Saccharomyces cerevisiae S288C: one gene and its partner. Changing the gene in region 2 together with the main gene of any one other region gives a genetic interaction. Each region holds a gene or a part of one and is shown on either strand. Other genes may lie near its edges.

Region 1 (3,616 bases), on a different chromosome or scaffold from region 2:
GTCCATCCGGTCATACAGGTTCTGTACACCTTGTGTAGTCTTCGGGACGAAGTACTCGAATGAGTAAGTGGGCTTGCCAGAGGTCTGTCTATGTTGCTCTAATTTTTCTGTGATCTTCATATTGCGATGTGGTTGTAGTAGTAACTGTGGTGGTTCTGTTTGCTGATAACTTTAGTTTAGGGAGACTATTTCAATCAAGGGGAGCAAGGCAAACTACACGAAACACAAGCTGTGGCATTAGCTTTTCCACGAGCGAAATATCACCTTTTTTTTTCTACTTTTCGTATATATGATATATATACGTATATATATATATACATACAAACATATATATATATATATATATATCAAATTTTGGAAAAATTTGAGTCAAAGTTGCATATGCAATATTCACAGTCTATAATCCGAGGGATAGAATGACTAAACGACGGCCCGCTACCGGGAGAAAAGTCGCTGTTATTTTTTCAGTCGCTCGTGGTCTATCGCCAACTTTTCCTGAGTCATACTGGACGTAGCGCGGCTGCGTCGCGAGCGTAGACAAGGCCTGTCACTATGTACGCAGCTAGCAATCCAGACATGTGCTCACGTACGGTGTGGAAACGGGACGCCACCGCAGTCAACAGCAGCTGCCATAACCACGTGACCAATAGCGTCAGCAGTATGATTACTGGGTGGTCGCATGCTATGCATCGCGTCAAACGGAGCAGGGCGGCCGCGCACGTGACAGGCGGCTCGACTATCGCACGCCACAAACGGGCGCCACAGGTCATTGAGCCGCCGCCACACCGCCGCCACGTCCATAGCGGTCCAGTGTCGAAAAGGCGGGTCACCAATCGTACAAGCTGCCATTTCTGCGCGTACAAGTGAGCCAGTGCACGACGCCCAAACACACGTAGCTCACCTAGAAGAAACATGCACATCAAGGTGGCCAAGAACACGTGCCCGGATGGATCGTGTCCTCCAGCCCAATGGCCTCCAAAACGTCTGCACTGTGCCGAGGTGGTTAACGGACCTTGCCACCTGTGCATCTGGTCATGAATAAAAGTATTGATGGCAGCGGCAGCGCTGGCCGTTACGTTTTTTGGGGTTTTCGGTTGCGTCGCCTGCAGGGCGCCCTGGATCGACCCTATGGAGCGGTCCCAGAGTTGTTGCTGACGGTGTTCTTGGTGGTGTCCGTGCAAAGTGAGGACATTGTGAATGAGCGCCAACGCGCGATTAGTCCGGGTGACAGAACCCTGGAAGTCTTCGTTCACGTGACCTGCATCATCGAAGACGTCATAGTGACAATGGCCACCCGTATATACGAATACCAAGTCCATGATGGGGCCTACGCCAAACCATATACCTTGCGTGAATACGTACCACCACACTGTCAGTATGGCATACCTTTTGAATGACTGGACAATGTGTCTTCGGTCTCTGCCGGTTGCCCCCGGCACCGCACGGTAGCGTATAATACACCACCATCCGACCAAGGAAGTCCAAAACCACCCTTTCTTTACCAACATAGCATTTACCAGACCATCCTTATTCAGGGTTGCTTGCAGCGCCGCACCGTAGCCATACGCGTTCATGAGATATCCTACCAGTACCGTCAACGGGCACACCAGTAGGTGTATAGCATTAAACCATTTGCTAGACATTGTTGTAATATGCCGTGCTTTATAGCTGGTTTCAGTGGAGTTTTAGGCGTTTCCCCTTTGGCTTTTTTCGAACAGTTCGTTTTGTATTTTATTTCACGGTTTTCCCGCTAACGTGTTCTTAAAGGATGAAAAAGAAAAAGAAATGCAGGAAAAATGAGGCAAAGTAAGCCAAAACTTATAGCACTCATAAGACGGCAAAGTTCCCCCAAGCTCCACCCAGGATGTCAAGCACTAATGGAAACGCACCAGCGACACCTTCCTCGGATCAAAATCCTCTCCCCACGAGGTTCGAAGTGGAGCTCGAATTTATCCAGTCACTGGCAAACATCCAATACGTAACGTACTTACTCACTCAACAGCAGATCTGGAAGTCTCCTAACTTCAAAAACTACTTGAAATACCTGGAGTACTGGTGCAACCCCCCTTATTCGCAATGCATTGTGTATCCAAACTGTCTCTTCATTTTAAAGCTGTTGAACGGGTTCATGGAGTCGGCGATCGTTAATGAAGATGGCCTGCTGGAAGGGCTAGACGAGCTGCCCAAGATCATTCAATTACAAGGCCCGCAATGGATGAATGAAATGGTAGAAAGATGGGCCAACTGAACACACCTAATTATAACTACATTCGCACGCATTCATATATCTATTTTATACACTCATGAATATATATACACACACACACATATATATATCACATATATACATATATATATGTATATATATATGCAAGCCGCATTACTTTGTATTTTCTTTCCTTTGTTTTCCTTGCATATTATCTCGCAAGACATTAGAAGATGAAAGCAAAATCAAAAAGCAAGTCCATCGCCGTACTACAAGCCTCGCCACGACTATGCCAGGACACGAATTGGAAGACGTAATAAATCAACGTTTGAACCTATATGATGTATTAGAATTACCGACCCCCCTGGACGTCCATACCATCTACGATGATTTGCCCCAAATTAAACGCAAATACAGGACCCTTGCCCTGAAGTATCATCCTGACAAACACCCGGACAATCCATCAATTATACACAAATTCCACTTATTATCGACCGCAACTAATATCCTCACCAATGCAGACGTGAGACCCCATTACGACCGCTGGTTAATTGAGTTCCTACGGAAAACAAACGACATTGAAAGAAATAAACTTATACAAAAGCTGGAAGAATCTGAATCGAGTACGATACCCACCACCACACCACATCCTGATTTATTGCAAATCCAACGCCACGGCGAGCTACTCAGGAAACTAAAACATTTCAACTTGCCCTATGGTGACTGGAAACATCTCAACACACAAGACCAAGAAAATGCTTCGCAACATCCGTATTACGATTGCTCTACTTTGAGAATTGTCCTTGACAACTTCCTGCAATCAAATAATAAATCAAACTGCTTATCTCATTTGCGCAATCAAGTATTCATCACGCTAAGTGCTAATGAAATCTACGACATCTACTTCTCTGAAAGAAACAACTACTCGAAGGATGATTCAATCATCATATATACTGTATTCGATACTCCCATCACAGCGCAGCACGTATTCCGAAACTGGTCAAGTGGGAACCTCATACCCACGGTCAAGGATATTTCGCCCTTGATCCCGCTACATTACTACTCTGATTTTAATTTGGAGACGGAACTGAATGACGATATTGCAAGACTGGTCTCTAATGAACCTATCCTACTCGACTAGCTTGCACATATGTATGCCTGTTTTTCTTTATCCTATGGAACACTATATTTTCCGGGGCTTTCTTACAAAACGGAAGAAAAAGAAAAGGAAACTCAGCAAGTACTATGTACAAGAATATATATATATGTATATTGTATATATACATCAACTTCTATACTTCGAGGGAAAACATTAACAAGAGAACAAGTACAAGCCACGTGGTATACGTATCAGAATAATGCTACGTATGTCAACTTCAAGATTCATTGGGCAAAGGCTGTTCACTACGG
Region 2 (4,281 bases):
TCAGCAGCGGTTTTGACACGTTCTTCAATCTCTTCTGGTAAGATTTCACTCAAATCTGTTTCAGAAGCCTTGGATCTGATACCCATTGTTAGAATAATTCTCGCATAAGCGACGGAATCAGTAACAATCTTAGCTAACTCAGGAAAGTGCCACCCGTACCATTCTTTACATCTCATGGCATATGTGTTTAATTCTTTATCTAAATCATCCAATAAAGCAATTGCTTGAATAATCATAACATCAACTTTGTCAGCAGAAAATTTTAATTTGTGACGACCGATGGAATGAGCTAAACCCAAAGACATCTTGCTTAGATCATTATCAGACATACCTGGCAGCAATTCTGGCAAATATTCTTTGATAGCTCTATAGATATCTAAGGTTACAGCATCGGAAACAACATTGAAGTTCAATCCCAACTTATTAATAGCGTTTGCCAGTTTAGTTTCACTAACAATCAAGGTCGACTTCTTGTCCTTTTTAATTTCTTCCAGAAGTTTTTCTAATTGGGAAGAAACTTTACCTTCAATAATGGAGTTGGCTTCCTCTAAAGCGTTAGCTGCAGAGTTGAACTTGGAAAAGGCGGCGATCTTGAATTCCTTCAAGACTTTGTCAGAGCTATCCAAGTCTTGAATTAAGCTTGAAGATTTGTAGATTTTCTTATCGGAAGCTTTTAAAAGAGCATAACCAGCTGAAGTTTCAGTTAAAACGTAAGCCATTGTATGAGGAGGTTGAGGTTCTACAGCTAATTTGGTATCGACTGCTATTTCAAAAATAACTTATATGCGAAATTTTTGCGAAAGCATAAATAATTCTTGCTTTTCTGAAAATTTTCGATGAGGTTGAAAAATTTTCCAAATTTCTTTTTTTCTGTTCTAACGTACACAATGATATCAATATCAATAAGGCCACTGGGCGGTAATCGCAGATAAACCATATATCCTTGAGATGCCAAGATAAATGAACGCTGGTTCAGGATCTTGGTAATCGTATTTCGCAGGATTGTTCTTTTTTATTGTTCTCTGATATGATTGCTTTGTGACAAAGTTGGGGCATGAAAAAGCCTTTTTTTACTGATGAAAATATGGTGTAGGTTTACGATTAAATAATAATGTTGCGCCCCATTTGGATGCGCTTGTTGGCACATATATTAGTAACATAAATGTTTTCATAAAACTGCTTGTGTCGAATGTTTCTAATGGCGTGAAAAATACGGAAATACTGCTGAATAATTTACACAGGTTCTAACTCTATACTCGGATATGTAGGATATTTAGAAAAATAATTTGTGGATGCCAAAGATCGAAGAGGTGCTGGATCGTTAACCACAGATAAACTGAATCGCGCACTCCAGTTACTGTAAAAAAGACTTACCGAAGAATATAAAACACTCCTGTTTTTGGTATATATGCTTTTATTTCTTGAATGTTTTGATTACTGCGTTCATAAAAAGTGATGACAGGACAGGAATAGTGAAATTATCATCCCAGTTGAACAAATCTATACCTTCACTCAAAGCAGCTACCACACCACCTAACAAGGATAGCATATTCAAACTTAATCTGCTTGTTTCTGGGCTCCATTGGATCTCGCCAGGTTTGTTGACGTAGCTGTAGGCAGGAACAAAATAGCCATAAAATACCCAGCAGGTGATAACACCAACTGTAAACGCAGCTATCGAACCTGCAAGGGATTTATTTCTTGCCACTTTGGGTGTTAAATGACCATACTTTCTTCCAATAGTTGCGGCGGCTGTATCGGACCAACTTAGCAAAAATAACGATATTAAGGTAACATCTTTAGAGAAAAAGTTAAAAGAAAAGATTAACCCAAGAATGTACCACAATACCCCATTGTATGTATGAATCTCCTTTTTTCTCATTAGCGCACCCACAGTTCTACAGTAAAGCATATTGAAAAAGGGCCAGTTTAGTCTTATCAGATCCAAAATAAACAATATGATGAAGGCGTATATCAAAGGCCATAAAACATTTTTATAATTAATACCCTGCGTATACAGGTACAAAGTAATAAAGCCAATGGAAGAATGGAACACCTTACGGGGAATTTCATGTTTAGTTATAAAATCGCCGAACCATTCATGAGATTTCAAATGTATTTCTGTCACTGGAACGTGTGCATCGTCATCGCTACTACTAATTTCTTCTTTTGCTGGAATCGTTACTTTCGCCGAGACTTGATGACTCTTAGATGATAGTCTTTGCTTAGCTTCGGTACGCGGCTCTAGCGTGCTATTTGGAAGGGCAATGGCATCTTCGGTCCCCATATTGTCTGTAAACCCTGTATGAATCCAAATGACAGAAATGCGTAGATATCTGTTTACGTAATGTTCAACTGCTCTACGACAACACCGCTCAGGATTTTTATAATTACGCTACGTTTTATATTTATCGCAGAAAAACCAATAATTTGTTACCCGCTATGGACCCTGGATTTTGTAAAGATACATGGCATGACATTGTGCTTTCACGCTGGTAGTGCATAATGTAAGAGAAGAAACAGGATATATTTTAAAATTTCCTTGAATCTACAAAATGAATTATACAAAATTTTATTATACTAAAAAACGTAGAAATATCTTGTTGGCTTAGTAGAAGGTTGATGGTCTCTTGTAAGAGAAAGTCTTGGTAGATTTTTGGACTCTGTGAGGTAATGGGAATTTTAAATCCTTGGTCAAGAATTGCTTGACGTATTGTCTCTTGACATCAGCAGTCTTTTCAATTTCAGCAACCTTCAAGATGTGAATAGATCTAAATCTAGCTCTGTGTCTAGCAGCCATGTCTTGGTATAAGGTTTCGACGGCAGCAACTCTGGATACGTCTCTGATTTCCTTGTACATGTTGTGAGTACCAGATCTGGAATCGTATCTAACCCAAACACCGAAGTTCTTGACCTTGGTTGGGTGAGCTTCGTTGATTTGGTTGATGGAAACAATTTCACCAGAAGCCTTCTTAACCTTGTGCAATTTTTGCAAGAAATACCAGTAACGAGACTTGGCGATGACTTCATTTGAAGCAAAAATTCTCATTCTGAACAACTTTGGTTCTGGAACGGATTCAGTTGGTAAACGACGACCAATGACTTGGTATTCTTTGAAATGAGCCACTGTTAAAGATAAAAATCAAAAAAGAATTTATTCTTGTTAGTAAACTTGCATATTTCAAAAATATTGCTTTATTGCAGACAATTACATGTAAATGAATGTTTCAAAATAGATCTCTGATTCAGTTAATTTCCTCTATAATTCCTGGATGGTAGTTCTATAGTCCTCATGTGAAGACTTCTCAAATGATATTAACCATATCATCAGTATTAAATGGTACACCGCCTTCCTTCTAGAAGCAATTTATGGTAATAATCGTATTCAGTATTCGGCGTATTTCAGGAAAAACATTCACAGGTTGCATTGACTTATTGGGTATTCTTCAGTATTTTAAATTTCCACGATATGTTCATTCAATTTGAGCTCACCATATAAAATAGCTACATTGACATTCATTCCACAAGCATACAATACATTCTATTACATACTTTTTCTTTGCTTGATTCCTTTGTTACGGTTCTCTTCTATTATCTTCTGCAAAAATAATGCCCTCAAAAACGGTTATATCTATCTATTAGAGTTACTTCTTCGTACTGTTGCCAACTCGAGCGGAAAGAAATTAGACAGAATCTGGCGGAAAATTGAGAAAGAGCTAGACAGACTATGCGGAACAACTTGGAATCTGCCTCTGTCCGTGTGGCCTGGCCCTGGCCTGGGAAGTAACTGTCTAGGCCGCGGACATTTTTCTCTTCGGTAGTAAGCCGCCCTACTGGTCATGGGGTTACCTGAAAGAGATAAAAATTCAAAGATAGCATCGCGCCGTCGGAAACGTAAAATGTACGGGTGAACAGTCCCGAAAACCGTATTTATTGTTTTGGGGAAGAGCTTGTTTACTTCGTGCCTACAAACAATCAGCACCTTAAGATATGACAGAATAGCTTGCTATTTGATTTTTTTTTTATCTAGCTTGTAAATATTTATTAAGCCTTTCCTTACAAAAAAATATATTTTCTTTTACCTCTTTTTTATGTTGAGCGTGTATACATTGGTAAATTTAAGTTCAGTGCTTTCAATAGATAACACCTATTGAATTTGCGCCAGTAGGTACAAATTGAAATTCTCGCCTATATTAAAATTATTTTCTATGCGAACTTATTGTACTAGATGTGGTAAATCTCCTCCCTCAGATTTGTTGCCAAAAAATCTAAACAAACTTC

What was found.
Region 1: mutations in DGK1 (region 2) and SCS3 together harm fitness more than expected from each alone (negative genetic interaction), as found in Saccharomyces cerevisiae (4 studies listed by BioGRID).

Annotation. Positions count from the first base shown.
Region 1 is NC_001139.9:269,024-272,639, reverse strand, and holds SCS3 (Scs3p), read right to left. Parts: upstream 1,644-3,616; coding exon 501-1,643; downstream 1-500. Other genes in the region: methylenetetrahydrofolate reductase (NAD(P)H) MET13, read right to left, coding at 1-120; mediator complex subunit SOH1, read left to right, coding at 1,865-2,248; U2-type spliceosomal complex subunit CWC23, read left to right, coding at 2,496-3,347; mitochondrial 37S ribosomal protein mS29 RSM23, read left to right, coding at 3,565-3,616. UniProt on the Saccharomyces cerevisiae protein: Fatty acyl-coenzyme A (CoA) diphosphatase that hydrolyzes fatty acyl-CoA to yield acyl-4'-phosphopantetheine and adenosine 3',5'-bisphosphate. Preferentially hydrolyzes unsaturated long-chain acyl-CoA substrates in the endoplasmic reticulum (ER) lumen.
Region 2 is NC_001147.6:897,642-901,922, forward strand, and holds DGK1 (diacylglycerol kinase), read right to left. Parts: upstream 2,288-4,281; coding exon 1,415-2,287; downstream 1-1,414. Other genes in the region: RNA-processing protein NOP58, read right to left, coding at 1-719; 60S ribosomal protein eL20 RPL20B, read right to left, coding at 2,609-3,126, 3,553-3,553; SPS4 (Sps4p), read right to left, coding at 4,217-4,281. UniProt on the Saccharomyces cerevisiae protein: CTP-dependent diacylglycerol kinase that catalyzes the phosphorylation of diacylglycerol (DAG) to phosphatidate (PA). Controls phosphatidate levels at the nuclear envelope.